5 linked regions of the Sus scrofa genome follow. The protein of the gene in region 2 purifies or fractionates together with the protein of the main gene of each other region. This does not show direct contact. Links are inferred from orthologs where the notes say so. Each region holds a gene or a part of one and is shown on either strand. Other genes may lie near its edges.

The links.
Region 1: the proteins of LIN37 (region 2) and E2F4 purify together in Homo sapiens (co-immunoprecipitation; 4 studies listed by BioGRID and IntAct, with this or other methods). This does not show direct contact. The link is inferred for Sus scrofa from reciprocal best matches to the Homo sapiens genes LIN37 and E2F4.
Region 3: the proteins of LIN37 (region 2) and RBL2 purify together in Homo sapiens (affinity purification with western blotting; 5 studies listed by BioGRID and IntAct, with this or other methods). This does not show direct contact. The link is inferred for Sus scrofa from reciprocal best matches to the Homo sapiens genes LIN37 and RBL2.
Region 4: the proteins of LIN37 (region 2) and LIN52 purify together in Homo sapiens (affinity purification with mass spectrometry; 6 studies listed by BioGRID and IntAct, counting the BioPlex papers as one, with this or other methods). This does not show direct contact. The link is inferred for Sus scrofa from reciprocal best matches to the Homo sapiens genes LIN37 and LIN52.
Region 5: the proteins of LIN37 (region 2) and TFDP1 purify together in Homo sapiens (co-immunoprecipitation; 3 studies listed by BioGRID and IntAct, with this or other methods). This does not show direct contact. The link is inferred for Sus scrofa from reciprocal best matches to the Homo sapiens genes LIN37 and TFDP1.

The regions. Positions count from the first base shown.
Region 1 is NC_010448.4:27,836,142-27,841,124, reverse strand, and holds part of E2F4 (transcription factor E2F4), read right to left. Parts: intron 4,640-4,983; coding exon 4,578-4,639; intron 4,368-4,577; coding exon 4,070-4,367; intron 3,573-4,069; coding exon 3,372-3,572; intron 1,019-3,371; coding exon 971-1,018; intron 762-970; coding exon 717-761; intron 620-716; coding exon 504-619; 3' UTR 1-503. UniProt on the Homo sapiens protein: Transcription activator that binds DNA cooperatively with DP proteins through the E2 recognition site, 5'-TTTC[CG]CGC-3' found in the promoter region of a number of genes whose products are involved in cell cycle regulation or in DNA replication.
Region 2 is NC_010448.4:45,177,177-45,183,260, reverse strand, and holds the end of LIN37 (protein lin-37 homolog), read right to left. Parts: intron 3,954-6,084; coding exon 3,878-3,953; intron 3,697-3,877; coding exon 3,646-3,696; intron 3,359-3,645; coding exon 3,329-3,358; coding exon of another isoform or gene 3,253-3,328; coding exon 3,167-3,252; intron 3,082-3,166; coding exon 2,915-3,081; intron 2,390-2,914; coding exon 2,249-2,389; intron 2,161-2,248; coding exon 2,087-2,160; intron 2,003-2,086; coding exon 1,921-2,002; 3' UTR 1,878-1,920; downstream 1-1,877. Other genes in the region: HSPB6 (heat shock protein beta-6), read left to right, coding at 485-607, 717-887.
Region 3 is NC_010448.4:31,766,131-31,772,331, forward strand, and holds part of RBL2 (retinoblastoma-like protein 2), read right to left. Parts: intron 3,476-6,201; coding exon 3,206-3,475; intron 3,062-3,205; coding exon 2,781-3,061; intron 2,694-2,780; coding exon 2,517-2,693; intron 1-2,516. UniProt on the Homo sapiens protein: Key regulator of entry into cell division. Directly involved in heterochromatin formation by maintaining overall chromatin structure and, in particular, that of constitutive heterochromatin by stabilizing histone methylation.
Region 4 is NC_010449.5:97,390,214-97,396,414, forward strand, and holds part of LIN52 (protein lin-52 homolog), read left to right. Parts: intron 1-952; coding exon 953-990; intron 991-2,597; coding exon 2,598-2,664; intron 2,665-4,914; coding exon 4,915-4,998; intron 4,999-6,201.
Region 5 is NC_010453.5:78,752,994-78,759,898, reverse strand, and holds the start of TFDP1 (transcription factor Dp-1), read right to left. Parts: upstream 4,378-6,905; 5' UTR 4,242-4,377; intron 3,455-4,241; 5' UTR 3,392-3,454; coding exon of another isoform or gene 3,380-3,391; 5' UTR 1-3,379. UniProt on the Homo sapiens protein: Can stimulate E2F-dependent transcription.

The sequences.
Region 1 (4,983 bases), about 17 Mb from region 2:
AGCAGAAGGGGGCACACGAGAGGACCAGGAGAGCTGTATGACTGCGTGTGGGCAGAAGCGAAGGAGGCTGGGTGGTGCTGGCAAGTACCCCATGCTTCCTCCTGGAGGGGACAGGGGCTGACAGGTACCGGACAGTGGGGCTGGACAAGCTGCCCTATGAGGGTGATGGAGGGTCCTCGGTTCTGTGCCACTGGGTGGCAGCTGAGCCTCAACTCTGGGAGGGCCCAGGGAGGGTACTAGGTAGGGGAAGGCTCCAAAACAGGAGAGGCAAACACTTTGGCTCCACGTGGAGTGGGCTAAGCCCCTTACCCCTGCTCTGCCAGCACCGTACAGGTGTTGGTGCAGGAGTAGGACTTGTGGCCAGAACTGTGCAGTGAGGGAAGTCTGGGGAAGCCAGGAGTCTGCGGCTCTCAAGCTGTGTAGGGATGGGGTCGGGGAGGTCCCCAGGCAGCCCCCAGGTCAGACAGTCTGTGTCCCAGCCACAAAGGGCATGCCCTTGTCAGTCAGAGGTTGAGAACAGGCACATCAAAGAGGTCACAGACACCTTCACTCTCGTCCAGGTTGTAGATGTAATCGTGGTCTCCAGGGGGTGGAGAAAGGCGGAGGAGGGGTGCAAACACTGCGGAGAGGGACAGGCTGAGGCCCCAGAGCCAAGATCCCACTCAGGAGCCACCCAAACCCTGCCCACACTCACCCCCACCTTCCTGGGCACCTACCTTCTGAGGACATCAGCTCCTCCAAGAGCTCTGAGTTCATGCACTCTGGGGGTGGAGGGAGAGCGCAGTTACATCCTGGCTCCCACCTCTCCACCCGCCAAAGCCCATGAAGGGGACCACCCAGCCATCAGGAACGTTACCCTTTGCCCAGGTACCAAACACAAGCATAAGGTCCTCAGAAGGGCAAGAAAAGAGCCCTAAGACCCAATGAGCTGTACCCCTCACCCCAGCCCCAGGGAGGAACACAGCCCTACCTCGCGTGGGATCAAAGATTTCTGACAGCTCTTTGGGGAGTTCCAGGACTGAAAGACAAGAAAGCCACTCTCAAAGCACAGAGGGCCAGCCAGGTCCCACTCTAGCCCCCGCTTCCCCAGATTCCACACCACCCACCTGGGGGTCCACACAGCTCAGACATAGGTCTTGCACCAGGCCAAGCTGGTCCCCCCAGACTGTAATTCCTCAGTGCCGAGCCCAGGGTGCCAAAGGCCCAGGGGAGGCAGCTGGCACTGCCCCTTCCAACTCCGCAGTTCTGCTGAAAGGCAGTACATCCTCTCCCTTTCTGGGCTCAGTGTGCACACCCCGGCTGACGGAGGACACTCTGTCTGAGGGAAGATAACCTGTCCACCCTGACCTGGCTAATAAGCACCTCTTTGGTGCCGGGCTCAGAGACCACACCCCAGGCCACATCTGGCAAAGGAGAAGGTGCTCTTCAAAAGGGGACAGTGCTACAGGGTGACAACATGGCTCCAAAGGTCTGACCAGGAGGATGCACATGGGAAACGGGAAAGAAGCGCTGGAGCTGGATTTCACATGCCAGTTTAAGGGCTCTGGTTTTATCCACCAGACCTTAGGAAGCTGTTAAAGGTACTTTTGTAACAAAGAAACACCGCAGTCAAGCTGTTTGTGACAGATCCTTGTTGGAGTAAAAATGATGCTGAGGGACTTAGGAGAGCGGTGGCTGCAGTGATCCTGAATGCTGAGGATACAGGAGGCCATCAATGGGGGTGTCTGGGAGAAAACTCATTAGCTGATGTGGGATGGGGGGAAAGAGAAGGACAGAGGAGGAGACAGAGTTGAGGTGACACCCAAGTGTCAGGCCTGGGTGGCTAGAGCCAATGGTCGAGTACGCACAGAGGTGGAAAAGCAAGTTTCGGTTCATTGCAGCTCTATTCACATCAGCCAAGACATGGAAACAACCCAAATGTCCATCGACAGATGATTGGATTAAGAAGACATGGTACTTATACACAATGGAATACTACTCAGCCATCAAAAAGAACAAAATAATACCATTTGCAGCAACATGGATGGAACTAGAGATGCATACTAAGTGAAGTAAGTCAGAAAGACAAATACCATACGATATCATATATCTGGAATCTAATGAGCAGTACAAATGAAATTTTTCCACAGAAAAGAAATTCACGGACTTGGAGAACAGACTTGTGGTTGCCAAGGGGGAGGGGGAGGGAGTGGAATGGACTGGGAATTTGGGGTTAACAGATGCAAACTATTGCCTTTGGAACGGATAAGCAATGAGATCCTGCTGTATGGCACTGGGAACTATGTCTGGTCACTTATGATGGAGCATGACAATGTGAGAAAAAAGAATGTATACATCTAAGAGTGACTGGGTCACCTTGCTGCACAGTAGAAAACTGAGAGAACACTCCCAATCAGCTATAATGGAAAAAATAAAAATCAGTATTAAAAAAAAAAGGAAAAGAAAAGCGAGTTTCGGCTGAGCACACATGGGAGTGAGGTGCCTGTCGGCTGTGCACAGGAAGGCACGTGGACACAGGAAGTAAAGTTTTTAGGCAAGAAACCTATACACAGATGCTGGGAATCCATCTACTCAGAACTGGGGCCTTCCAGAGGGATGGACTCTGAGAAGCCAGATTTAAAGGAATGCCAGAGAGAAGTTACAAGAAGAAGCCAGTTAGGAGCCAAGAACCAAGAGCTGACATCATAAATGGCAAAGGCGAAAAGGCACATCAAGACAGAGCAAGAGAGCACCAGAGCAAATCAGCCCCAAAACCCGCCAGCACTGGCCATCAGGACTAGCAGCACTGGCGTGGCAGGGGGGGTGGGGGTCCTGACTGCTGCATCCTCCAGCTGACTGGGGGACCTGGATATGGGACAGAGTGGAGATAACTTTTTCAGGAAGTCCAGACAGAGAGGATACAGGGAAGATAAGAGAGGGGGACACAGGGGACAGACACTGTGTCATTTAATGAGGGAGACTTAGTGGTGCTTGTGGGCCTAAGGGGAATGAGTCCTGGAAAAAGCACTCAAGTCACAAGATGGAAAGGAGACACCAGGCAGATGGCATTCCCATTCTGAAGAAGACACTGCCCACCTGTGGGGCCTGAGGCCACATTGCAGCCCTTTCCCCAGGAGAGTGCTCACGCTGTCCTGAGTCCTGGAGGTGGTAGACAGGGCTTGGGGAGGGCCAGGGCGTTCTGGGTCAGCCCAGGAAGCGGGCAGAGGGGCGCTCTGGCTGGCAGAGTTCTGGTGGATGGCAGGGGGTTGGCTGTGGGGCCAGCCAGCTTTGGCTGAGGAGTTAGGAGAGCTGCGTTCCAGGCCCAGTTCTGTTTCTGACCTAGGACTGTCTGAGGCTGGGTTCTCCCTGCTCCCAAGGGGACAAGTACTCACCGCCTGTGGGGTCTGCCTTGATGGGCTCAAAGGAGGTAGAAGGGTTGGGTCCGGATGAACTGCTATTGCTGCTGCTGCTGCTGCTGCTGCTGTCCAACAGGGCAGAGGACTGCAGCGGCCGGGTATCCAGCGCTGTCGGGCCCAGTGGGAGGGAGCCCAGCTCACCACTGTCCTTGCTATCAGTTCCAGGGCCACCACTCACTGCAACCACACACCCCAAACCCAGTCACTTGGGAACAGGAAGCAGGATATCGAAGCTGGCTGTTCTAGAACCCACAGCCAAGATGACTATAGCCCTGGTTCCTGGGCCCAAGGAGAATTAGGCACTGCCAACCACTCCCAGGAAAGTAACATCAAAAATCTCACTGAAGAAGACAGAGGCGTGAGTCCTGCAGGAAGGAGACTCATGGACATGGCCACTGTGATCACACTTCAAGAGGGGATGCCAGGTCAAGTGAGACGTTGGCAGATCTGGGGGGAAACTGCCAGCACTAATGCCCTTTCGCATAGTCAGAACTTCCCTGTTATAAAGGGTTCATTCGCAGCACTAGTGAGGAGAGGCCAGTGCGTGGGGTGAGGGCAGGGAGAGACAACCTGCCCCAGAGTCTCCTCCAATCTAGAAGGACATTCTGTCACACAGAGGTATTGCCTCCAGGGCCCCAGAAATCACCCTGTCACCAACTACCCATGTGCCTCACCTGTGATCTCAGCTGCTGGACCGGCCACCCCCTGGGCCTCAGTGCTGCCGGAGGAAGGGGTCGAGGTGGTCACCTGGGGACTGCTTGGCCGTGAGGCATCCTGGGGCTGGGCCAGGGCAGGCTTGGGCAGAGGGGGAGGGGTAGAGACAGCAGGTGGGCTCTGGAGCAGATCTTCAGGTGGCGGCACAGGCACCGCCACGGGTGGTGAGCTCCATGCCTCCTTGTTCACCAGCAGCACCTCGATGGGACCACTTACACTCTTCAGGTGAATCTGGTATTTCTTCTGCCCATTGAGGCCCTGGAGGTGGGGGTGCGGGATGGAGGAGAGATGGAACTGGAAGCAGGCTTGGCTCCTGCTGAGCCAGTGTCCTCTCCCACCCCAGGTTGCCGTTCTCCTAGATAACCTCAAACCCCAGGCCTCCCCCTACCGACCCCACCCGGGACTTATCGGGCTCTGCAGCCAGCACCCGCCCTCAATCCACCCCGCCTGACTGTGCTGAGCACCCACCTCTGGGATGGGCACCTCCAGGCTGGTGCCTGATGGGGCCCGGATGGCCAGGAGGGTGTCTCCTGGAATGACAAGGAGGATGGGTCAAGATCCACCGGCTCAATCTGAGCTGAGAAGGGGGTACCTGTCCCTTGAAGCAGGGAAGGAGATCATGGGCTTGGAGGGGCTGCACAGTAGGCTTCACTCACCCCCTACCATGAGAGGGCAAAGAACTAAAGCTTTTCTCCTCCTAAGAGTCCAAAGGTCAATAACCAGAAAATCTGGGTTCAGACATGGGCATCTATCTGAAGGATGCTCGAAGGATTGCTGGCCATGGGCATCTCACTCGAATGATGGGGTTGCTCCTTACACAGAGATATTCTAGTCAAGGCCAATGTCCCTTGCCCAGAACCAGCCTGGAAGATGC
Region 2 (6,084 bases):
TAGTAATTGCTGAGGGCTCAAGCAATCCCGTGACTCGAGTGGGAGGGTAGAAAGAGAACACTGGTGACTGGGGGAGGAGGCATCTTGGCGATTTCTGGGGGCGGGTGGGGCAGTAAGGGCCCCAGGGGCTCTGGGTAAGGGGGCTGAGGAGTCAGTGTCCAGAAGGACACGCCGACTACGGGGTTGTTGACACTAAGGGAGAGGGCGGGCCTCACCCCGTGAGGGCGGAGGTGCCTGATCTTGCGGGGGAAGGGGGCCTCATCCCTCTGGGTGAGAGGGAAGCCCAGCTACTACAAGGGGAAGGATGATTCCAGTTACTCTGGATGAAGAGGTCTTCGGTGGCTACCGCCTAGGAAAGGGGACCCCGCAGTTCCGGAGGCCAGAATCAGCTGCAGCACCAGAACAGAGTCAGAAGCCAGGGGGGCGGGGCCTTGCGGGGTCCCGAGAGCCCCGCCCCTCTCGATGACAATGGGGCTGTGCGCAGGTGCCAACCGATCCCGGGCATTTCTCGGTGCTGCTGGATGTGAAGCACTTCTCGCCGGAGGAAATCGCCGTCAAGGTGGTTGGCGAACATGTGGAGGTGCATGCGCGCCACGAGGAGCGCCCGGTGAGCCCGCTGGCGGGGGCGGGATCAGAACGTGCAGGCGGGAATCATAGGCCGAAGGGGCGGGGCATCTACAGGGAAGGGGCGGAGCCTCTCAAGCTTCTCTCTCCAGGATGAGCACGGATACATCGCGCGCGAGTTCCACCGCCGCTACCGCTTGCCGCCTGGTGTCGACCCGGCGGCCGTGACGTCCGCTCTGTCCCCTGAAGGCGTCCTGTCCATCCAGGCAGCACCTGCGCCGGCCCAAGGTCCATTGCCGTCGCCACCGGCTGCTGCCAAGTAGGGGTCAGAGAACCCTGGGAGCCGCCTCAGGCCCCGCCTTTTAAAGCCGACCTGACTCCGCCCAGCCAGATGTCCCCCGGCGCGCGCCAAGACTATCCGCCCACCCCACCTGGGATCTGCCTTGACCCTTCCAACCTAGACTCAGTCCTGATAACCCAGGCCTTTACACTGACACTCCGGGCTCCTACACCCTCTCCAGCTTACAAACCTCCAGACACTTCTCTAGTTTCCAGACCCTACAAAGCACTGTCCCTCAGCCTGGTCTCCCATCCCCAAGGACCCCACTTGGCATAAAACCCCACTCCAGACACCCTATTTCCTTCTGACTCCTCTAGGCAAACATCTCCACACCCCGTTTCAATCCACGCGCCAAGATTTTGGTGGAGACAGCCCTGCCCCCACCCTAAACCTAGGCAAAACATGCATAATCCCTGCTTCCCCTCAAAGGTCCCAGACTATGCACAGACCTCCCACCCTCAACCATCCTGGCCTGGTCCACAACCTCTGGATCCTTCCCCTCATTCCAAGCAGCTACTCCAGTACCCCTCACCCTCTCCCCTCAGCCATCTTCTAACTTGAAACCTCAGCCAGCTACCCCCAGACTCTTGAACCCTTTTTCTAATCCCCTATTCTAGGCCAACCAGGACCCTCAGCCTCAAACTGTACAGATACCTACCCCATCTCCCCAGATGCTGCACAGATATCCTAGGCTCCCATCTCCAGCTCTAACCAGAACCCCCCCTGTCTTGTCCCTCAAGTCTCCAACCACATAATCCCAGGCAATCCACTTTCCACACCCCTCCCCCTTATTCTCCAAGATCCAAAGCAGCAGCCATTTTCTTTGGCGCTCCACAATCTTTCTCCCTCCTTGAGTTTCTTGACGCCCCCATCCCCTCACCCAGGCCCACTCCCCCAATAAATGTGCTGGAGCTGTGCCAACGGCTTTCTGTCTGGGCCAGGAAGGATGGGCTGGAGCAAGTGGAGGCCAGTATGGGGCAGGGGAATGTTTATTGAGGTGGGGGGACAAGGGAACATCACTGTCGCTCGTACATCTCCCGTAGGATCTTCATGCTTTCCGAGTAACGAAGCTGGTTCCGATGGGATGCCTCCTTCCACCTGTGGCGGGGGTGGGAAGACAGAGGGAGGGCTCAGCAGTTGGAGTAGAGGCCACAGGGATCATGCACGCTGGGGGCTGCTCACCTCTGGCGGATGCGTTTCCAGCGCTGCATGTTTCGGTAGATGAGAGTGGAGGGTGAGGGCTCAGGCTCGGAGGGCTGCATGGACAGAGAGGCCAGGCTGGGCATCCATGCCCAGCCCCACTACATAGGCCCCATCGCTCCGGGGCCAGCCTTGCACACCCACCTCGTCATCAGGGGCACCCTGGGTCTCAGGCTGGAGCGGGGATGGAATTCGGGATCTGCAGGTGTCTCCAGGTGGCCCAGGAGCTGTGGGTGGAGGCAGCTTATACACGTCTCGACTCTTGCTGTTGGTGACCTCTGAACCCTGGGGATACAAGGGCCCCACGCCATGCCCAAGAGAGTCAAAGAGGGGCAGGGACACACATTCCACACCTTGTGCCTGTTGCAGTGGCAAAAGACATGAGAGTCTCACCAGGGACCTGTACTTAGGCATCCGGTCTGCTGCTCCAAGGATCCCTGTTGTCTCCTGTCCAACCCAGGGACCCCCAGTGCCCAGCATAGAGACCTTCATTTACCCTACCCAGCCCAAGGGGTCCCCATCTGCTTCCTTAGGTCAAGTGGTTACAGCTATTTGCACTGAAGACCCCTGCCCCATCCCCTAGCCCTTGGAGGTCCCTGATCCTGGAGTTCACATCTATCTGCCTGACCCTGTCTCCGCTCCCTCCCAGGCCAGACAGCCACATCTGTCTGCTCCAGAGCGCTCCAATCATTTCCTTGGCCTAAAGGTTCGTATCCGTGAGCCTCACTGGATCCGGGGGTCACTTGAGGGACACAGAGACCTGTGCTTACTGATCCTACCAGCAGGGAGGGAGCCCACCGCCCATCCCACCTCCTCATCCTCAGGCAGCGGGGGCAGCGGTGAGCTGGGGGAGCGTTCCCGCTCGCGCACGGAGGGGCTGTTGCGCATCCAGGCTCGGCAGATCGGGTACAGAGGTGTGTTCTCACTGAACTGAGCCAAGTCCACGCTCCGATCAAACAGCTTGATCACGTATGCATCTGGGGTGGTGAGAGCAGGAGGCGTGTGAGGGTCCTCACAAAGCCGCCTGTCCCTGCCCCGCCCCTAGGGCCACCACCTACTCACTGGATCGCTGTGGCCCACCCTCGGCTAGCCCATCATCCATCTCCCTCCTCTTCTTCCTCCTCTGGTGGGGGAATCGGGCGGATGGCCTGTGTGGGAGGGAGAATATCAGGACCAGGGCAGGGTCTGGGGGCCTCTCAGCTGGCTGGGCCCCTGCCCCCTTACCGTTTGCCAGTGGCCGCGATGGAGCAGTCCCTGTGGGAAGAGACAGGGTGTCAGCAGGCTCACCCTTGTCTGCTCGAAACCGCCCAAAGGGCACCCAAAGGGTGATCAAGCTGACATGGGCCCCAACCCCTTAGGCCTTGGGTCTCATCCCCTAAGGCTCAAGGTGCCATCGAGAGGGGACCTGAGCTTCCGCTGCCCCAGGGCCTTTGTACTTGTAGGACGGTGACAGGCGAAGCATGAGGCAGGGGGGTCAGGCTCAGATGAGGAAAGTTACACACCACAAACCCTCAGTGGCAGATCCCATCAATAAAACTCACTTGTTGTGGGCGTCTGAAGGGGTCTTCCTGGCCTCCTCATCCAGACGCTCCCTGGTAGCAGAGAGAAATGTGGGTTCAGGGTTCCAACGGCTCAGAGTGGGCAGGCCCCCAGTGATCTCACCCATTCGTTCCCTTCCTCCCTAAGCCAGCCTCTGGAGTCCCATCCAGGGCCAGGGGGTCCAACCTGCCAGGGCCCCCAACCCCATGACCCCATGCACAGCCAGATCCCAACCTGTCCATGTGACTCTTCTCCAGAAGACACTGCAGAACAGCATCCAGCTGGTTCCGGGCCTTGGCCATCTCCAGCTCTGAGGAAGAAGGGACCAAGCAGGAGTCACTCCCCTGGCCCAAGGCAGCTGGGCAGCCACCTGGGCCAGGGAAGGGTATGCATATCTAATCTTTGGGCCAGGCCCGGGCAGACTGGGAGGACACAGCAAGCAGGGACTACTGAATGATAAGCAACAGCTCTGGGTTCCAGGGCTGACCCACATGCTCATGTGTGACCTAAGGTAAATCACCTTACCTCAAGGAGCCTGTTTCCTCATCTTGAAAATGGGTCTCTGAGTGATACCTATCTGCTCGGACTGTTCTGAGATTTCAATAAACCCATGCTCTATATGACTCTCTTAGCAGGATGCATTAATAAAAAGTAACAACATATGGAAGTCCTCTTGTGGCTCAGTGGGTTAAGGATCTGGTGTTGCTGCAGCTGTGGCACAGGTGGCAACTACTGTGGCACAGGTTCCATCCCTGGCTTGGGAACTTCCACGGGCTGTGGATTTGGTGAAAAAAAAAAAGTAATAACATAGAGTGTTTGGGGAGTTCCTGCACACGGGAAACTAATCCGACTAGGAAGCATGAGGTTATGGGTTCTATCCCTGGCCTTGCTCAGTGGGTTAAGGATCCGGCGTTGCCATGAGCTGTGGTGTAGGTCACAGATGTGGCTCGGATCCTGCGTTGCTGTGGCTCTGGCGTAGGCCGGCAGCTACAGCTCCGATTCGACCCCTAGCCTGGGAACCTCCATATGCCATGGGAGCAACCATAGAAAAGACAATAATAATAATAATAATAATAACACAGAGGGTTTGTTACGTGCCAAACACTGTTCCAAGCACCTCATGCATATTAACCCACTGAGTTTTCACAATGACCCTGGTGGGCAGATATGATTTTTACCCCCATTTTATAGATGAAACTGAGGCACAGAGATGTTAAGTTACTTGCCCAAAGTTACCCAGCTGGGACATTGCAAGGCTGGGGATTTGCACTAGGTCATCTGGCTCCACAACCGAAGTTATAAGGCAGGGGCTCAAACTGCTGCAGAATCTACTCCTCAAATGTGTTTGAGGTATTGGTGTTATTTTAAGTCTGAGTTAAATCTGAATGCAATGACTACATTTAATAAATGGGAGTTCTCATCTAAAATACCCATTTTTGGCTTTTTCCTCCCAGGGAAATGAGATCCGGGCCCACCTGCCTGCAGGCCACAGGCCCTGCCTGGCCTTACCAGCCTGTGGGTCTGCCTCTCATTATCAAAGAACTTAAGGAGGTGACGATGCTGTAAATATCCTCCCCTTGCTCCTGAGGGGTGTTTGCTCTCCTCTTCCAACTAGTAGGAGCGCTGGCCCAGTGCTCAGAGCTTGGAAGGACACTTGGGGACATGCTTTACCAGCCCCGAGACTTCCTAAAGAGCCCAGGAGACGTTACTCAGAGGAGAGATGGAGGGGATGAGGGGCTGGAAGCAGCTGATATTCTAGCAAAGAGCCTTGGGTAGGAGCCAAGGTTTGGATCATGCCCTCATCTCTTTCCCTAGTCCCTGCTTCCCTCCTGAACCTCAGACCTTGGGACCCCATGGCCTCCTGGACCCCTCCCTGTGGACTTCCCCCAGGCTCCTTCCACCTACTGGGTCCCACACTGGCCTCAGTGTCTCTCTAAACTCACCCCTTTTCCTGGACCCCCATCTCAGGAGTATCCCCACTGTCCCTCAGTCCCTCCCTGGGCCTCATCACTGTCACATCGCTCCCTTCCCCACCCTGGCCCTTTCCCTTCTTCTCCCCTGGGCTCCTGACCCCAGTCTCTCCTTCTGATCCACTCGCCACACAGTATCCAAGGGAATCTTCCTAAAACCAAACCTGACCTTGATCCGCCCCTGCTTGGAACCCTCCACCACACTGCGGTGCCCCCGGCTCAGAGTCTGAGCTCTTCAGCCTGGTGTTCACAGGCCTGCATGATTCTGCCTGCTCCTTCTTCACCACCATCATTTTGTGGTCAGACCCCCTTCAATTATTTCGGCATTTGTAAAACTCTCTCCTTGGCTCAAACCCCTCCCTCGGCTCCCCATTTCCCTCAGAGCAAAAGCCAAAGTCATAACCAGGGTCCATAAAATCTGCCCCTCACCACCCACCTCCTCACACTTTCTTTTTTTTTTTTTTTTGTCTT
Region 3 (6,201 bases), about 13 Mb from region 2:
ACTAGCATCCATGAGAACACAGGTTCAATTCCTGGCCCTAATAGGTGGGTTAAGGATCTGGCATTGCTGTGACATGCAGTGTAGGTCACAGACAAGATTCAGATGCATGGTTGTGGCTGTAGCAGAGGCCAGCAGCTGCAGTTCCAATTAGACCCCCAGCCTGGGAACGCCAACATGCTGGAAGTGCAGCCCTAAAAAATATAACAAAAAGGAGTATTATGAACAACTGTGTGCCAACAAATTAGAAAGCCCAGAGGAAAGAGACAAATTCCCAGGAAGACACACTACAAAAACTGATTCTAGAAGAAACAATCTGAATAGACTTACAACAAGAAAAAGAATCATCAATAAACTACCCACAGTGAAAAGCATAGCCCCAAATGGCTTCACTGCTGAATTCTACCAAATATTTAACATTCTACCAAATTCTTCACAAACTCTTAGAAAAAATAGAAGAGGAAGAAATACTTCCTTAAGGCATTAAATGAGTCCAATGTTACCCTGATAATAAAACCAAAGCCATAACAAGAAAACTACAAATTATTCTTATGAATAGGACAAAATTCATCTATAGAATACAAGCAAACTGAACCTACTAACATAGAAAAAGAATTGTATACCACGATCAATTGGGATTTACACCAGGAATGCAAGGTTAGTTTGATGTGTGAAAAATCATCTAATACACTATCAACAATAAAAAACAAAACCCACAACTATCTAAACAGATGCAAAAAGATCATTTCCAATACCCTTTCATAATAAATGCTTAACAAACTAGAAAGAGAACCTTCTCAACCTGATAAAAGTGTCCTTAAAAAAAAAATAGCTAGTATCATACTTTAATGGTGAAAGTCTATATGCTTTCCTCTTAAGGAACAAGGCAAGAACTTCTGCTCTCAACATTTCTATTCAACTTTACCAGAGATCTAGTCGGAGTAATTAGGAAAGAAAAAAAAAAAAAAAAAAAAGGCATTCAGTATGAACAGGAAGAAGTAAAACTATTTCTATAAGCAGATCACATAATCTTATTACAGGAGTCCATTGTGGCTCAGCAGTCATGAACCTGACTAGTATCCAGTGGGACAAGGTATTGCTGCAAGCTGTGGTGTAGGTCGCAGATGTGGCTCGAATCTGGTGTTGCAGTGGGCGTGGCGTAGGCCGGAAGCTGCAGCTCCGATCTGACCCCTAGCCTCCATATGCTACAAGGTGCAGCCTTTAAAGCAAAAAAAGCAAAAAAAAAAAAAAAAATCTTGTACACAGAAAATCCTAAGGAATCTACTAACCCAGAACTAAAAGTGAATGCAGCAGGGTTGTGGGATATGAGATGAACATACAAAAATCAATTGTATTTCTATATACTTGCAATGAATACATCAAAAATGAAACTGCATTTATAATAGCATCAAAATAAGAATAAAGTTAACAAAAAAGTATAAAAGTTATACTTGAAAACTGTAAAATATTGCTGAAAGAAATTAAAGAGAACTGGAGTTCCCGTCGTGGTGCAGTGGAAACGAATCCGACTAGGAACCATGAGGTTGTGGTTTCGAACTCTGGCCTTGATCAGTGGGTTAAGGATCTGGCGTTGCCATGAGCTGTGGTGTAGGTCGCAGATGTGGCTTGGATCTGGCGTTGCTGTGGCTCTGGCGTAGGCGGGCAGCAACAGCTCTGATTAGACCCCTAGCCTGGGAACCTCCACATTCCACAGGTGCGGCCCTAAAAAGACAAAAGACAAAAAAAAAAAATTTTTTTAAGGAGAACCTAAATAAATGGGAAATATTCTGTGTTCATTGATAAGAAGGTGAAATATGGGTAAGATAGCAATACTCCAAATTGACCTTCAGATTCAACAGAACTCCACCTGATTTCTTTGTGACATGATGTCAGAATCGACAAGACGATTCTACAAGTCAAAGAATTTCAAGGGATTTAGCCTAGCCAAACAAACCTAAAAAAGAAAAGTTACCAGTTTTAAAATTTAAGCTGTTTGTTTTTAAAATGGGGAATGTTATGTGAGTTTCGCCTCAATAAATTATATTAAAAAACAAACTCACATAATAAAATGTATTGGTGAGAATGTGGAGAAATCAGGACCTTCAGACAATTCCAGTGGAAATGTAAAATGGTGCAGTGATTTTGGAAAACAGTCTGGTAGTTCCTCATATAGTTAAACACAATTTACCATATGACCCAGCAATCTGCTCCTAGTTATATACAAAATATAAATGAAGACTTCCATGGAGAAACTTGTACACAGATGTTCATAGCAGCATTATTTATAACAGCCCCAGAGAGGAAATAATCTAAATGTCCATCAACTGATGAATGAATATCATATATTCATATAATGGAGTATTATGTTCTAAAACTGTGGTGACAGTCACACATGTATAAATATACTAAAATCCACTGGACTGTACATTTTAAATGTGTGAATTATATGGTATGTGAATTTTATCTCAATAAAGCTGTTAAGTAGCATATTTCCTTTTTCCTTTCCTAATGGTACTCACTTTTGCCATCACATAAATGGCACACATTAACAACTGGTCCAGATGTCTGTCCATCATAAGTTCAGGACACTGAATTATGGAGAATTCAAAGCAGGTCCAGATTTTTTTCCTCAGTTCATCTGAAATATCCAGTTTAGCACAAAGATCTCGGAGGCGGACACCTGCTAAGTGGTAAACCTAGTAGATAAACAAAAACATCTCAAACTTTATGTAACCCTTATATTTCCCAAGCTCTTATCCTGGTAAGGGTATGTGAAAAATTACCTTTCTAAAGAAAAGCGATAAAGAGCTTGTCTTCCTGGGTCTTACACTGCTGCTGGTTAAAGGCAGGCCTTGTTTCTGCTGTTGTCCACCTGGGGAAATCTGTTGAATGGCCACCTGACCAGGGACTTGCAAGGCTGTTCCTGTCACCTGTTGAGAGCTTAAACTTCCAGCCAGGGCCTGAGCACTGAGGGGCTGGATGGAGCCAGTCACAGCTTGCGCCTGCCCTCCAACATTGACTTGCACTGGAAAGAATGTTATTCCTCCATTTTCATTGGCAATGCCTAAAGTTTGAAAAAAAAAGAAAACACAAAGAAAATTTTTCCCTTCTCAAACCTCTGTTCTCATATTATTCCAACCAAATCTCAGGTAACTTTCTAATAAATGCCACAGAGAAAGAACTCAATATCCAGTATTGACTTCCTTACCTTGTACAGGAATGGTCACTGTTTGTCCATTGTTGGCTGTGACAGTGGCTGTTGCCATGGTGACCAAAGTCTGTCCAGGAACTGGTGTGACAGAAACTGCTTCTCCAGATACATTCTGCACAGGGACAGTATTGACGAGAGGCTGTGGGGGAAGGCGCCCAGGGGTCCCTCCATCAGTGGGGCTATCATTCTCAACAAATAACCGCCTTCTGGTAGAGCTGGCTGTTGGAGAGCTGTACCTATCATATAATGTGGTTGGAGATGTTATGCCTAGGATCAAAAACAGAAAAAAAACTATTTAACTCAAGGAGACAGATCTAACTTCCATCCAAGCTGTTATGTTCAAAAATAGTTAAGTGTTTGAAATACTATAATTCATAAAATTATAGGAGTCACATCATAGCTACATTCAATGAATGAAAATGCAACTAAATACTATTGTGCAAAATTTTATTTTTATTTTATTTTACTTTATTTTTGTACTTTTAGGGCTTCACCCGTGGCATATGGAGGTTCCTAGGCTAGGAGTCAAATTGAAGCTGTAGCCTCTGGCCTACGCTACGGCCACAGCAATGCCAGATCCAAGCCATATCTGTGACCTACACCATAGCTCACGGCAACACCAATAACCCACTAATCGAGGCCAGGGACTGAACCTGTGTCCTCATAGATACTAATCAGATTCGCTTCCACTGAGCCACAACAGGAACTCCCTGGGCAAAATCATAATGAAGAATTTTTCTCTGTCTCACAGTGCTCCTTCTTGACTCCTCCTTCTGCTAAATCTACCTGGACCTTGCTCTCCAATACCACAGGGCCTTGATGATTCAAGGGTAATTTAAATAATTTTCTATTTTCCTATCATATTCAATTTCTACCTAACACTCATGTGAGATGTGATTTCACTGTAAAGCCATACCTGATAAGAAGACTTGATGAACTTGATATTACTAAGGTATCATCTGGAAGCACTTACCCCATTTTATGCATTTTCATCTTTGTCACTTTTCATATATAGAAAATTACTAAAATTCAATAACGTTCTTCAGTAAAAATGGACATAGATGTTTTGGATTCAATTAACGTACTTTTTTAAACAACTTTATTGAGATGAATCACATATTTCACACATTTATACAATTCAATGGTTTGGGGTATATTATACTATTAGCTGGTTTTTTTTGTTGTTGCTTTTTAGTGCTATACCCACAGCATATGGAAGTTGCCAGGGTTGAGGTCGAATTGGAGCTGCAGCTGCCAGCCTACATCACAGCCATAGCAACACGGGATCTTGAGCCGCATCTGTGACCTACAGCACTGGATCCTTAAACCCACTGAGCAAGGCCAGGGATCAAACCTGCATCCTCATGGATTCTAGTTGGGTTTGTTACCACTGAGCCACGACAGGAACTCCCTGGTAGATTTTTTAAATTTTAGTAAAAAAATATATATATATAAAATTTTATTAAAATTTATATTAAAATTAATATAAATAATAAATTTTATTTATATATATATATCATACAGTTAACCATTTTACCCTTTTTAAGTGTACAATTGAGGTGCATTAGATTCATAATGTTATACAATCTCCATTTATTTCTAAAAGTTTTTCAACATCCCAAACAGAAACTGTTAACCATTATAGCTTAGTCTATTGTACTTAACACCACAGTACACATTCACACCAACGTTAATTGTTAAGAAGCATTCCTTTCCCTCTCCCATGTCTAGCTGTAAAAATTGCACATCAGTGGGTTTTAAATACTAAAATACATAAGGAAGTCCAGAGGATTGATAGGAATAGTTCTGACAGTCTGTGGGCTAACATTTGAATTTCGTGATGATACAAAAGCAAATAAATTTACTAGATTTATATTTGAAACAAAGCTGCAGTTAGAATACATTGACATTATCTCATAAAATATTAAAAGACTTCATCAAAATGGAGACGTGATAAGTGCAAAAAAATGAAGTTTAAAGTCAAGTCCTAATCCATAGATTAGGGAAGGAAAAACTCTACAGAAATAGAGTTGAGGAAGACCAGTTATCAGATCTATGGGTCTGAGTGGATAAAAAGCAGAAAAGCAGTTGAGCCATTAAGCCACTATGCCTCCTCTTTCAAAAATGAGTAAGTTTTCACATAGATCATCCATATTCTGAGTATGCACTGACACAGAGTGATTCCTAATTTTAAAACTGATCTTGGGGAGTTCCCGTCGTGGCTCAGTGGTTAACGAATCTGACTAGGAACCATGAGGTTGCGGGTTCGATCCCTGGCCTTGCTCAGGGGGTTAAGGATCCAGCGTTGCCGTGAGCTATGGTGTAGGTTGCAGACTCGGCTCAGATCCCGCGTTGCTGTAGCTGTGGTGTAGGCTGGTGGCTACAGCTCTGATTCGACCCCTAGCCTGGGAACCTCCATATGTTGCGAGAGTGGCCCAAGAATATGGCAAAAAGACAAAAAAACAAAAAAAAAAACAAAACAAAACAAAAAAAAACTGATCTTTCTTCTATAGCCAGTGCTTATCAATTTTTTAAAGTTCATCTGGGAGTTCTCACTGTGGTGCAATGGGATGGGCAGTGTCTCTGCAGCACCACAATGCAGGTTCAATCCCTGGAGCAGCACAGTGGGTTAAAGGATCTGGTGTTGCTGCAGCTGCTACGTAGGCTGCAACTGTGGCTTGGCTCTGCTGCCTGGCCCAGGAACTCCATTAGTTGATCTAGAAACAAGAATTTGCTTCCTTCTAATGGGATCCAAGGATTTAGAACTCTCTGGATTTACAGACATGCAGTTTTTGGGGTTTTTTTTCTTTTTAGGGCTGCACCCAAGGCATATGAAAGTTCCCAGGCTAAGGGTCAAATCAGAGCTGCAGCTGCCAGCCTACACTACAGCCACAGCAATGCCAGATCTGAGCCACATCTGTTTCCTACACCATAGCTCAAAGCAACACCAGATCCTTAACCCACCGAGCAAGGCCAGGAATCAAACCTGCATC
Region 4 (6,201 bases), on a different chromosome or scaffold from region 2:
ATTTGGAAACCTAAGTTATATACAGGTTTTGATATTACAAACGATGTAACAATGTATACCCTCGTATATATTTTCTTTGTTCACTGGAAGGCAATGACTGTGTGACAGTACCCATTTCCTTACATAGTAGCCATATTGGATGTTACTGATCTTTATTATTTTTAGTTTGTACTTTTTAGTGAGGATGAACCTTATTTTTAAGGTTTTTATTTTTAAAGGTTTTTTTTTTTTTAATATGACTCTTTCCATGAGGTACTTAAATAAGCAACTGGATTGACAGAATAGCATAACTAAAAAGGAAATTTAAACTTTTTGATAAGAGAGGTTATATTTCACCACCTTCTCATTCAGCTAACTCCTGAACCTTCAAAGTTCACTTGAAAGGGGTTATTTTCTCTGAGAAGCTTTTCTTGCTCCCTCAGTCTGATTTAGATTTTCTTTCTCTCTCTCTCTCTCTTTTTTTTTTTTTTTTTTTTTTTCCTTTTTAGGGCTGCACCTGTGGTATATGCAAGTTCCCAGTTTAGGGGTCAAATCAGAGCTGTAGCTCTCAGCCTACACCATAGCAACACCAGATCTGAGCCGCATCTGAGACCTACACCATAGCTCACGGCAGTGCTGGATCCCCAACCCACTGAACGAGGCCAGGGATCAAACCCACGTCCTTGTGGATACTAGTCTGATCCGTTACCACTGAGCCACAACAGGAACTCCTAGATTTTCATTTCTTGTTTCTCATATACCAAATTTTTGTCCTCCCACATACCAAATACCATTTTTTGTCCTGTTATTTTTCATAAAACCCTTAAAAAATGTTATAGTTATTGATATCCTCTCTCTTTTCTTCCAGATTATAAACTCCTTGAAGACAAAGCTGTTTTGTCATTTGAATCCTCTGTGTTAGGGACACTAAAATGTTTATCGAGTGACTAATGTTGTGTTTTTTTCTTTTTAGTACCAGGTGTTGCTGAATTTGCAGCTTCTTTCAAAAGTGTAAGTAGTATCTTACTTACCTAATGAAGTTTTACCAACATTTTGCTCCTGGGTAAAATATCAAATAGCTCTTATTTTTTTATATTCAAGAATAATGTCTTAGCCTTCAAAATTATTTTGTAACTACAGCCCCTGAAATCTGTTTATATTATCATCATGCTAATGATGTTCTATTTTGGTATTTTGACCTTTGACTATTAGCCTCTTCTCTCAGCTTATGAGATTTTAAGGTAAAGCTATTGAAATTTTTAATGTAATGCCAGTATTCTTGTTGCCCAAACTGTGATTTTTGAAGCCTTTCTCTTTTGCTTATGTGATGCATTATGACCTTAACTTATACCTCCCTAGAGGATTTTGAAATTTCTCAGTGGCTTGTCAGAGACCAAAGGAAGGCATTTTTAAAGCCATAGCTTTTCCACTTCCCGGGCAGCAGGCATTATGCTAGATGTATATTCCTAGAATACCTCCTGTATATTCTTGGAAAATATGGAAAGCAGGAAAATATGATGATTATAATATTAGTCAGCATATACATAATGTGTACTATAAGCTATATACTTTACATACATTATTTAATCTTCACAAAACCGTATGAGCTATAGGTACTATTATTATCCCTATTTTACAGAGAAGGAAATAGACATAAAGAGGTTAAGTAGGTTACTCAAGATTATAGGCTACAAATGGCAAAACCAGGCTTTGAACCTCTTAGTCTACTTACTAGCGTCTATGCTCATTATACCATATTTAGAGGCATTTGTACCTAAAGTTAAAAGCACTGACTGGCAGAGAAACTTTTTTTTGTTGTTGTCTTTTTGCCATTTCTTGGGCCGCTCCCATGGCATATAGGGGTTCCCAGGCTAGGGGTCCAATCAGAGCTGTAGCCGCCGGCCTCCGCCAGAGCCACGGCAACGAGGGATCCGAGCTGCGTCTGTGACCTATAGCACAGCTCAGGGCAACGCTGGATCCTTAACCCACTGAGCAAGGCCAGGGATGGAACCTGCAACCTCATGGTTCCTAGTCGGATTTGTTAACCACTGAGCCACGACGGGAACTCCTCAAATAATTTCTTTCATGGCTCTACTTACCTATTTTTCGTACACTAGTAACAGTATTCAGACCTAAATCTTTCAAGATCATTACTTTAAAACCAGCTTTTAAAGATCAGTAGTATTATTTTGTAAGGGTTCTATTTGTAGGTCAGAGCTGAATCTGGAGAAATCTGGTTCTTTGAAATTATAACTTGCTGGTATTTTCAAACAACCTGAGGACTGTGTGACAACCTCCTTTTCTTACAAGAAAGAAGAGTAGAGAGTTTCCGTCGTGGTGCAGTGGAAATGAATCCGACTATTATCCGTGAAAATGCAGGTTCAATCCCTGGCCTTGCTCATTGGATTAAGGATCCGGTGTTGCCACGAGCTGTGATGTAGGTTGGATCCTGTGTTGCTCTGGTGTAGGCTGGCAGCTGTAGCTCTGATCTGACCCCTAGCCTGGGACTTCCACATACCAGGGTACGGCCCTAAAAAGCAAAAAAAAAAAAAAGAAGGAAAAGTAGGATCTCTATACATTGCACATGTCTGAATAGATGTATTCTTATTTTCTGACAGCCCATTACTAGCTCCCCACCCAAATGGATGGCTGAAATAGAACGCGATGACATTGACATGTTGAAAGGTAAGCAAAGCTGGTGACCTCTAACCTTCAACCTGACTTTTATGCTCCTGTGCAAACCACCTTTCCAGTTTTTCTTTCACGATTCCCTTACAAGTATTTTTGGCTTCAAATTGCCTATTTAACCATCCTTATTCATGGTTCTTCATATCTAAATGCCTTTCTCTACTTTTCCATGTGTAGAAATAATTCAAGACCCAACCATACTGATTTTTTCTGCTGCTAAATTCCTTTAATGTTAATTTTATTTTGTATAATACTTAGCGTTGGAGTTCCCATCTTGGCTCAGTGGAAACAAATCCAACTAGGAACCATGAAGTTGTGGGTTCGATCCCCAGCCTCGCTCAGTGTGTTAAGGATCTGGCATTGCTGTGAGCTGTGGTGTAGATCACAGATTCATATCGGATCCTGCGTTGCTGTGGCAGAGGCCTGCAGCTGCAGCTCCGATTCAACCCTAGCCTGGGAACCTCCATATGCCTCGAGTGTGGCCCTAAAAAGAAAAAAAAAAAGAAAAAATTAACGTTAACTATAAGCTCTCACATAAAATTTCTTATTTAATTCTCATAAAGACCCTGTGAGTTAGATATGATGTCTAAGGTTCAGAAGTTAACCAAGCTTTATTATAGAAAGAGTTAAAATTTAAACTCTGAACTTTTTTTTTTTTTGGTCTCTTTGTGTTTTCCAGGGCCGCACCAGCAGCATATGGAAGTTCCCAGGCTAGGGGTCTAATCAGAGCTGTAGCCGCCGGCCTCCGCCAGAGCCACAGCAGTGCCAGATCTGAGCCGCGTCTGCAGCCTATACCACAGCTTACGGCAACGCCGGATCCTTAACGCTCTGAGTGAGGCCAGGGTAGAACCTGCAACCTCATGGTTCCTAGTCGGATTCGTTAACCACTGAACCACGATGGGAACTCCTAAACTCGGATCTTTTAAAGCTAGTCTCTTACTGTTATAATGCAAGTGCCTTATTTAGGATTTGCTGTCATATATTGTTATGAGTACTATTAATTGACAACCCCTTAGTGGGTTAAGACCTGTCTTTTAGTTCTTTCTATCTCATCAATTTCTCCCATAGAGAATACTGTAAGTAGTGAATATCATTGTTTGATAAATGGCTTGGGACTAAATCACAAAGTAGAAATTTAAATTAAAAAACATTAATTTTCCTTGATTTTGCTCTACTTTACTTAATTTTTTTTATCATCCTCGTAGTGATAAGATTCATGATGGTTGTGAAGTAATAGAATGAAATTGAGGTAAAAAATCTGGGGTTCTTAAGCTATTTAAGCAGCTGAACAGATTCACAAAGTCTACTTATGCCAGATATAGATAATAAGTATGGCATGATGAGTGAGAGAAAATAACACCTTTATTTGACTTCAGAAATAATTCATTGTTCTGCATGAAATGCTTAAAAGCAGAGCCCTTCCTCCATCTGGAAAAATTAAGTCTCAAGGGCATCTTGGGTTCATTGTTCTAATGTTCCAAACAGACATTTATATAATATTCCATCAACATGTATTTTCTAAGGAAGCTTTAAAGTTTGATAAGGGATCAGAGCATTCTGTTTCATGCAAGTTCATGTATGTCCTAAACTTAAAAGGAATTAAGTTCTGTTTAAATGAAAATCTGGGAAGATAAAATTTTAAGTTTACTGTCTTTTTATCTGGTAAAATTAAAAATTTTTTTATGGGAATTTGATTTGAAGGTAAAATTTGGATTAATATTTAGCCTGTTTTCTAAACCTGGAGAAATAGGAAAGAATAAGTGTTTTATTGTCACTTGGAGTAATGTGGACTTATAAATGACAGCTGAGATAGTGTCCTTTTTGTGAGACAGAGATCTGTCTGTTTGCTGTCTCAATGCTATGTCAGATCACAAGTTTTCAAATTTTAACCATATATTCATTTTGTATGATACGCAAAATGAATGTTACAAAAAGATCCTCAGGATAAAACATGTAATTTGTTGTTGTGTTTACGTTAATTCTCTTCTCATTAAGTGGGTAAGCTTATCTGAGGCATTTTGCAGTGGTGGAAAAATTCACTGATTTGATTTGTGCGTTTTTGTGTGTGTGCACGTCTGTGCTGGGGGTAGTGGTGATGTGATTTGTTGAGAAGAGATATGGATCCATTTTCTACTTATTTCATAGGAATTAAGCTTGAAATTTTTATAACAAGGATTTGCAACCCGCATGCGTTGTTACTAGAAGCAGTGGAAAGAAATGGTATTGAAATAAATGATTCTGTTTCAGAACTGGGGAGCCTCACCACAGCTAATTTGATGGAGAAGGTACGAGGCCTTCAGAACCTAGCCTATCAGTTGGGGCTGGATGAGTGTGAGTACCCAGATCCATTTATTCAGGGTTGCATGTTGTATATTTAATGATGAGCTCTGGTGTAATTCAGAAAGTAACTTTAGTATCTTTATTAGATGTTCTCAAGGTAAGAAGCCACTATAATCTAAAGTGTGCCTTTTATAGTAGAGTGTCAAAGTAATTACAGAGTTTACTAGATTACAAGTTATTGTTCTTTGTATAGTGAAAGCATATTGGTAACTCTTAGTTTTAAGCGATAGAATGTCAAATCAAACAATCTTAAGCAAAAGAAGGATTTTATTCACATAAATCAAAATTCTAGGGGTAGAAATAGCTTTGAGTATATCTAGATTCATGACTCTTAGTGAAGTCTTTGGAATATGCCCTCATTCTTAGTTTTAGTTTGCTATCTTAAAGCTCTGCTTCACTCATGCATTAATATTATTCTTTGATCTAGCACCAGGGAAGGTAACCAGCAGGAACACCAGCTCTTATGTCTTTAAATCTCATAATCCTAAAAGAAAGAACATCTTTTCTGCACATGGCAAAGAAAGGTCTTGGGGAGGACCCTGACTGTTCCATCTTGACTCACATACCTATCTTGGAACCAGTCCTTTAGCCAAGCAGCATGGAGCACTGGGATGGGCCAGGCCTGGGGCCTGGGTGTGGATGCAGATTGGAATGGTTATTCAGACTCAAATCACATGGAGTGTGATTGTGGAGGATTGGTTCCTCAAAGGAAGGTTCATGTAGTAGACCAGGAACGTAATCTGCTAGTATGAGTGATGCTTTTAAAGTTCTCATCTATTCCTAACTGTTCTCCATTCTTTTAGTTTAAAATTATTTCTTGGGAGTTCCCACTGTGGCTCAGCAAGTTAAAAACCCAACTAGCATCCATGAGGATGTGAATTTCCCTGGCCTCGCTCAGTGGGTTAAGGATCTGGCATTGGTGTGAGCTGTGATACAGGCCAGCAGCTGCAGCTCTGATTCAAACCCTAGCCTGGGAACTTCCATATGCCCCAGGTGCAGCCCTAAAAAGCAAAAATAAAATAAAATAATTTCTTTATAAACTATATATCTTTCCATACTATATTCATTATAAAATTGGAAGAGGAATTGTACCAAATTTTCACTTTGTAATTGAAAGAAATACTTAGCATAAATACAGTGCTTAGAACTTTGTTCTCAAGGGGTAGGTACCTCCTGAGACCTTCATAAAGCCAC
Region 5 (6,905 bases), on a different chromosome or scaffold from region 2:
AAGGGAACCATCACCTCAGGGAGGGAGGGAGGGTGCCACCCTCACTTTACAGACGAGCCGCCAGGCCCGGAGAGGACTCTGCCCGGGGTTGCCCCGCAGGACGAAGTGTGTTCTCAGGGTGCGCCCTGAGACGCCGGGACCTGGACTCGGGCTGAAGGACGAGGGAGCCAGACATCTGCTGGGAAACGCCAGGGTTTAAATCCTCAGTTTCTGCAGTGGATGCGAGTCCACAGGGAGTCAGCCCGAGTGGAGGACGGAGCACAGGGCGGGTCCATCGATTCACAAAGACACTTGCTTTAAAAGGAAGACATTCAACCCTGAGACCAAAAATGCAAAATAAAAAAAGGCAGCTTAGAAGCTCACCTGCCAAATGCAGCAAGCTTGTGGGTGTTTAAGGTACTCAGACTCAGGGATGGGACTCGAACGTGGAAAGGGCTCTCCCGCTGCCTGATGGGAGGGGTCCCACCAGGCACGACCGGCCCGGGAAGCAACCCAAGCACGGCCCAGACAGGCGCACGCACCGTCCACAGGCACACGCCGTCCACACACGCACGCAACGTCCTCACGCACACAGTGTCCACACGAAGCCACACCTCTGACGACTGGTCCTGGGGTAGCATCATGGATTTGAGAAACTCTGAGAAGATTTTACCGGAAACCACCAGAATCCCCAGTGCTAGGGCCTGGGGACGGACACACCGGAGGGGATCTGCCGGGCTGCACAGCTCCCCTGCCGGCCTCCCAGATGGCCCGTGTTGTCAGGCCGGCACTCGGCTGGGTCCCCGTCTCACCACCCCCTCGTGGCGCTTACATGGGCGAGGAGAAGACGAAGCGGCAAGCAGCCCAGAGGGCTGCACTCAGAGCCCGGAGCTCTCGGTCCGCGCGCCAAGAAAGGGCCCCCGCGCTCCGTGCGTTCGACGTTTCAAAGACAAGCGAGGAGCAGTCATTCTTCGCCCCCCCCCGTTAACCCGCTCTTTCAATACGTCACATCCCCAGTCCCAACGCATCCAATGAACCCACAGCTGCCAAGGGGGCCGTGGCAGCATCGACACCCAGAGGAAGGCCTACGTGTCCGTGACGTGAAGATGAGTGAGGAGCAAGGAGCCCAGACGCCCGCGGCTTCGTGAGAGGCCGTCCCTACACTCGACCGAGTGAGAGTCCAACTGGGATGAACCGCGATGCCGCAGCGACTCCTGCCGCGGCCAACGGGGGCTGTGGTTCTCCTTCTTCCTTCCCTGGAGCTTTCAGACCCGGGGACAATAAACACGACGCTCCTGATACAAGACCCGCTACTTGAACTTTCTCAGCGGTTCGCGTCCTGCTAGATGGACAACCCAGAGCCGGTCAGGAAAAGCCTGGTGTGGCCGAACGTCAACCCGTAAACACAACACTCAAGGGCCACGCAGAGAACGGGCACCCCCGCCAAGGACACCGTCACCTCCTGCAGACCCAGAGCGAGCAGATGTGCACAGGCTGGGCGGGCCTGGCCGCGCTGGATCCGGAGCCCAGGCGGGCCTACGACTGCTGGAGGAAAGCTCTGGGTCTTCTCGGGGAACTGACCACCAGCAGGACGGCCCTCAATCGCCACCCTCCCCGGGCCTCTGCAGGCTGGCTGCCCCCATCAGTCCCCGAGTTTGTCCGCCTCCACTGGGACCCCCCGCCTCCCCCGAACCTAACGCCAGCCTCCCTGGGCCCAATGGCCCAGCTGGGGTCCCAGCCCACCCGCTTCAGCCAGAGGCTGTGCGAGGTGCTTGCAGGCTTTGACCTTACCCCCAAGGGCAGAGTGAGCCTCCTATGCCTGCCCCCTACCCCCCGACAATGGTCAGCTTCCCAGATTCCAATGTCACACCTGACCTAAGACCCAGCGCAGGGGGAGACGGGGCTGAGCCTGAGCGGCCCGCAGCCTCTGTCCCGCCAAGCACAGCCCTGGAGAGACCCGGTTCCAGCACACCTGCCGACCCCAACCCAGGACAGGCAAAGCCACTGCTTCTTACCTGGCTGTTCTCACCGCGACACCAACCTCCACTGTGTCACGTACCCAAGCTCAACGGGTGGTCCCCATCACCCCCACCCAGCCACCAGGTGGCCCACAGCGACCCAGCCTTCGCTGGGCTGACCTCCAGGAGTGACCTTCGGAGGAGGCCGCTCAGGAGTCTCCTGGAACCAGGCACGGGCCTGGACTGTCTTCCCATCCCCCGGATGCCCAGGGGGAGGGAGAGGACGCCTCCTCCAGGGGGTTCAGACAGGACGAGAGGCAAACTCAGCTCCCCACCTCCACCCACGATGGGAGGCATGGGGGCAGCTGCACCCCTGCTGAGCACCAGCTCCCGTCCTGCGTCTTCCGGGCGACAGTGGCAGAGAACTGGGCCTGGCCACTGACGATTAGAAGGTAACACCACCTGCACATCACACACAGACTCTGGTTTTAAGCTCAAACCCACCACACTAGCCCCGTGTTCACCCGCTCTGCCAAACTAACTGGCGCGGGGGCCCACAGCCTAAGGCCCAGCGGGTGGGGTGCCTTCCGACAGGCGCCCTGCAGAAGGTTCAAACCCGCGAGGTGACGGAGGCATCATGCCCGTTTCCTGGCGCCACCAACAGGGACGTGCTTTACCCTCCGGCTGTGTCTCAGGCAGATGCACGTCCTCAGAGCTGCATTTCCACCTCCACGCAACACACGAGTAAATAAATAAACTGCCTCTTTTCATTAATGTTTACGGAACAGCACGTCCTGAGACACGCTAAAGGAGGAGCCGGGGTTTCAGTGAATTTCACGGATGTCACCCAGGATCGAAAGAGCTGCCCAAATGATAAAAGCCGAAATCTTGGGGCCGAAAAGCCTACTTCTTAAAACAAGAGAAAAAAACTAACTCATCAAATTCTATAGCTCCCCGACAAATATAAAGCTAAAGTAGAATTTTTGCACCCCACTTCACTAGGCACCAAGTGCCACTTTTTCTGAGAAAAAAGGCTGCCAAACCCAGTGCTTAGCCTGTTACGGCTCAAAGCTGAAGTAACATCCTACACGGTACCTGCAGAGGATGCTCAGCGCCATTCCACCGAGTCCAGCGCCTGCCCAGGGTCCCCCACCAAGGCACTCAGATTTCCAAGTTAACCAGTCAGAAGAGACCCACAGATCGGGTCAGTCAAGCCCCATCGGGCATTGGCCCCCCTGGGGGCTCAGGCCTGCAAAGTACCCTCCATAAAGGCCACCGGGGCTCCTCTGGGTTCCTCACCTTTAGCGTGTTTCATGTGCTTTAAGAGTCTGAACATAAACGCTCCTGAATGTTGTGTGCTGTCATTCTGAAACAAAATCGGGAAACTACCAAGAATGTATCAGTAGGCAAACATGCGTCCAGCAGGAAGCAAACATACTTACATCTTTTGCCATGTTACCAGATCCGTGAAATCGATGCTATAGTTGTTCACCCTCCAGAGAAGAAAAATGACTTTTCTGGTAAAAAGAAGAAAGGAAAAGCAAGGAGTGAATAAGGATGAAATAAGAAGTTCACAAACCTCAGCGTTTCCCCCCAGCACCACCACCATCCCCACCGCGGCTCAGGGGAGCGGCGCCTTCCTCTCCATGCCCACACTCCACCCTCGGAGCGGGGCCGCAGAAACAGCCCCCACGCTGGGGATTTTAAAGTCATCTCAGGAATGGAAGCTCGTCCGCCACCAGAATGCCCGCCGGCCTCCCCAGACGCGCACAAAGAGCCAGCAGCGAGGCCGAGCCCGCACTGGCGGCCCGCGTTCCCACCCGGCGCAGCCCCAGTCTCTGCGCACACGCGCTCCCCACGGGCGCCCCGGCCCACCCGCGACCACCAGCCGACCCGTAACTCTGACAGGTGGGCTTCCGGGGTCCCGGCCTCCAGCCTGTCACTAGGCCGCGGCGGCCTCCCGCGAGCGCCCCCCACGCCCCGGAACCGGCAGTCGGCGGGCAGGTGGGGTCGGCGCCGCCGGGCCCCCGCACCCCGCACCCCGGACCCCGTGCGCTCGGACTCGGCCCGCCCCAACCCCCGCCGGGCGCAGACGCCGATGCGCGCGCTGCTCCGCCCGGAGGCCCCTGCAGGCCCCGACGGGGACCCTGGCCCGCGACCCCGCCGGGCCGGTCACCTGGGCGCCCACGCGGCGGCCCTGGCGCGCGGGGACCGGTCGGCGCACGCGGCGCGCGGGGGCGGGGGTCGGTCGGGGTCCGCAGGCGCCCGGCGCGTGCGCCCCTCCGGGACCCCGGCCCGCCGCACCTGGCGGGCGGGAGGTCGGCGCGCGGACAGCGGCGCGCACACGCGGGCGGGCGCGGAAGAGCGGGCGGTCCCGGCGGCGCTCGGCCGGGGTCCCTGCCCTGCCGAGGCGCCGGGGCGCGGGGCTCACCCTGCGAGCGTCGGGCGGCGTGACGTGCGCGGCGCGGTGACGTGGGCGGCGGCCCGGCTCCCGCAGCGCGCCTGCGCGCCTTTTCGCGCCTTCGGCTCCCTCCTCCTCCTCCTCCTCCTCCTCCTCCTCCTCCTCCTCCCGCTCCGCGGCCCGCGCTCGCGCTCCGGGGGGCTGGGCTGCGCCTGCGCGCGTCCGCATGTGCGCGCGTGTGTGTGCGCGCGCCGAGCAAAGATGGAGAGGAGGTCCCAGCCCCCGGGGCGCGGTGTTGCGCACGCGGGGGAGCTGGGCCGGGGATATGCGCACGTGTGCGCACGCGGCGGACAGGGACTAGGGGTGCACGTGCGTATATAAGCACCTGGGGAGGGGGACAGAAGCTGAGGAGGTGTGCACCTGTGCATGTACACGGGTGTGTGTGCATCCGGGGAATGGGGGGTAGGAGTGTGTATACACGTGTGGGCACATGAGGAACAGGGGCAAAGTGTGCAGGTGAGTGTGTATGCACAGAGGTCTGGAGCCAGTGTGCAAGTGTGTGTATGTGCGCGCGCGTACCCAGGGGCTAGAGATGCATTCATGGGTGTGCACACGGAGAATGGGTTGAGTGTGTGCGTATGCACGTACAGAAGTGCGCACATGGGGGGGCGAGTGTGTGCACAGTGTGTATACGTATTCGAGAATAAGAGAGGTTGGGTGCCCATGGGCGTGTAGGGGCGGGTGCATGTGTAGGTGCGCAAGGAGAGGAGGCCAGGCGTGTGCGTGTGTAGTTGCACCGAGGCGAGGGCCGTGTGCACCCACAGCGCAGAGAGCCCTGTCCACCTGCTGCTCCTGTTCTGAGCTGCCAGCGGCCTCCGTGCCCACGCCCAGCCTCCAGCCAGCCTCAGAGCATTCTCAGTGCAGGAGAGTTGGCTCCTCATCACTGGGTGGGCTGGACCTAGTGGACGCTGAGCCTCGGAGACTCGTCCCCTCTGGGCGCCCCCGCAAGCACCAAGGCCCCAGAGGGCATGGGCTCTGGTTCCAGAGACGCTGCGGAGGTCGGGAGGGGCCTGGGAGTCAAGTCCGAAGTTCATGAGCACAGAGCAAAGGCCTCTCATCTTGCAGGTTTCCACCCGGCCGCGGACGGTTTCCCAATTTAACCGCTTTTATGCTGATCACGCCCACTCTGCTTCTCCAGTAAAGCCCCTCCCGGCCTAAGACTGTTCACACCTTAGCGCTGGTTTCTTGAAGGGAGCAGAGATATTCGCGTTCTTTCTCTTCAGTACGCGGCACTCAGAGAAACCGGGATCCAGGAGGAAGAGGGTAAATAAGAGGCTTCAGAGGACGGACCTACCTGCCCTGCCCGCAGGCGCAACACCTTGCTTCCCGGTGGTACAGTGTGCACAGCGTCCCACTGGGCAGCAGGGTCCCCAGTGCCAGATCCTGCGGTCCCCCGTCCTGTTCCTCAAGTGCTGATGTGTTCCCAACCTCACAGCTCTTTCACAGATACCCTTTGTTTTTACTGAATGTGAATATTCACCCCGCGGATGGCAGGCGGAAGGGGCGCCCAGCCCTCAGGCCTAAGTGCTCAGGGCAGTGAGCCTCTGGGTGAGGGCAGGGGGTCAGAGTTAGGAAGAAACGGGAAGTAAGGACCAATCGTAGACGTCTCTCTACAGACTCAAGATTCCAGTAATTCAACAGTATTTACACAGGATAAGTCCTTCTCATATTCAAAATAATGCCTGCACAAAAACCACTACTGAAACATTCTGCACTCCCAGGAGTTACTGCACCATTGCAAGTGTCCAGCCTCCCCTCCGGGCGGGTTCAGGAAGCATGGCTTTTAGTGGTGCTTCCACTGGGTGTAGACTTGCTCCTCCCACAGGCTGCACGGTCCCTGGGCCGTCCAGGATACCACAGGAAAATGGTTCTGTTCCGTGTTTTATTAGAAAGAAGTGACCGGTCCTTCCCAGGAAAACACCTCCTCTCTCAAAACCCCATTTTTTTATGTGCCTGCTCTGTGAGTCTCACAGTGTGATGCAAAGCCTCATCTGCCCCCATTAAACTCACCTTTAAAGAGAGAACGTTTTCCTTACTTTTTTTTTTTTTTTTTTTTTTTTAATGGTCACACCTGCAGCACATGGAAGTTCCTGGGCAAGGCGTCGAATCTGAGCTGCAGCTGCTGGCCTACACCACAGGCAACGCCGGATCCTTAACCCAGTGAGCAAGGAGAGGAATCGAACCCATATCCAGCCATTTTCTGTTTTCCACCGCAGCGATGATGACAAGAGGTGGGGAGGCAGGGAGGGGAGAGGTTTGTGGGACTTAGAGGGGGTTCTGCATGTGGGGAAGTGACATTTTCTCATCCTTTGGACAAATATCAATAAAAGCATTTTTGCTCCTTTTTTTTCAGGGCCCCACCTGCAGCATATGGAAGTTCCAGGCTAAGGGTCAAATTGGAGGTGGAGCTGCAGCTGCTGGCCTACACCACAGCCACAGCAATGCGGGATCTGAGCCGGGTCTGTGACCTACACCACAGCTCATGGCAACACCGGGTCCTTAACCCA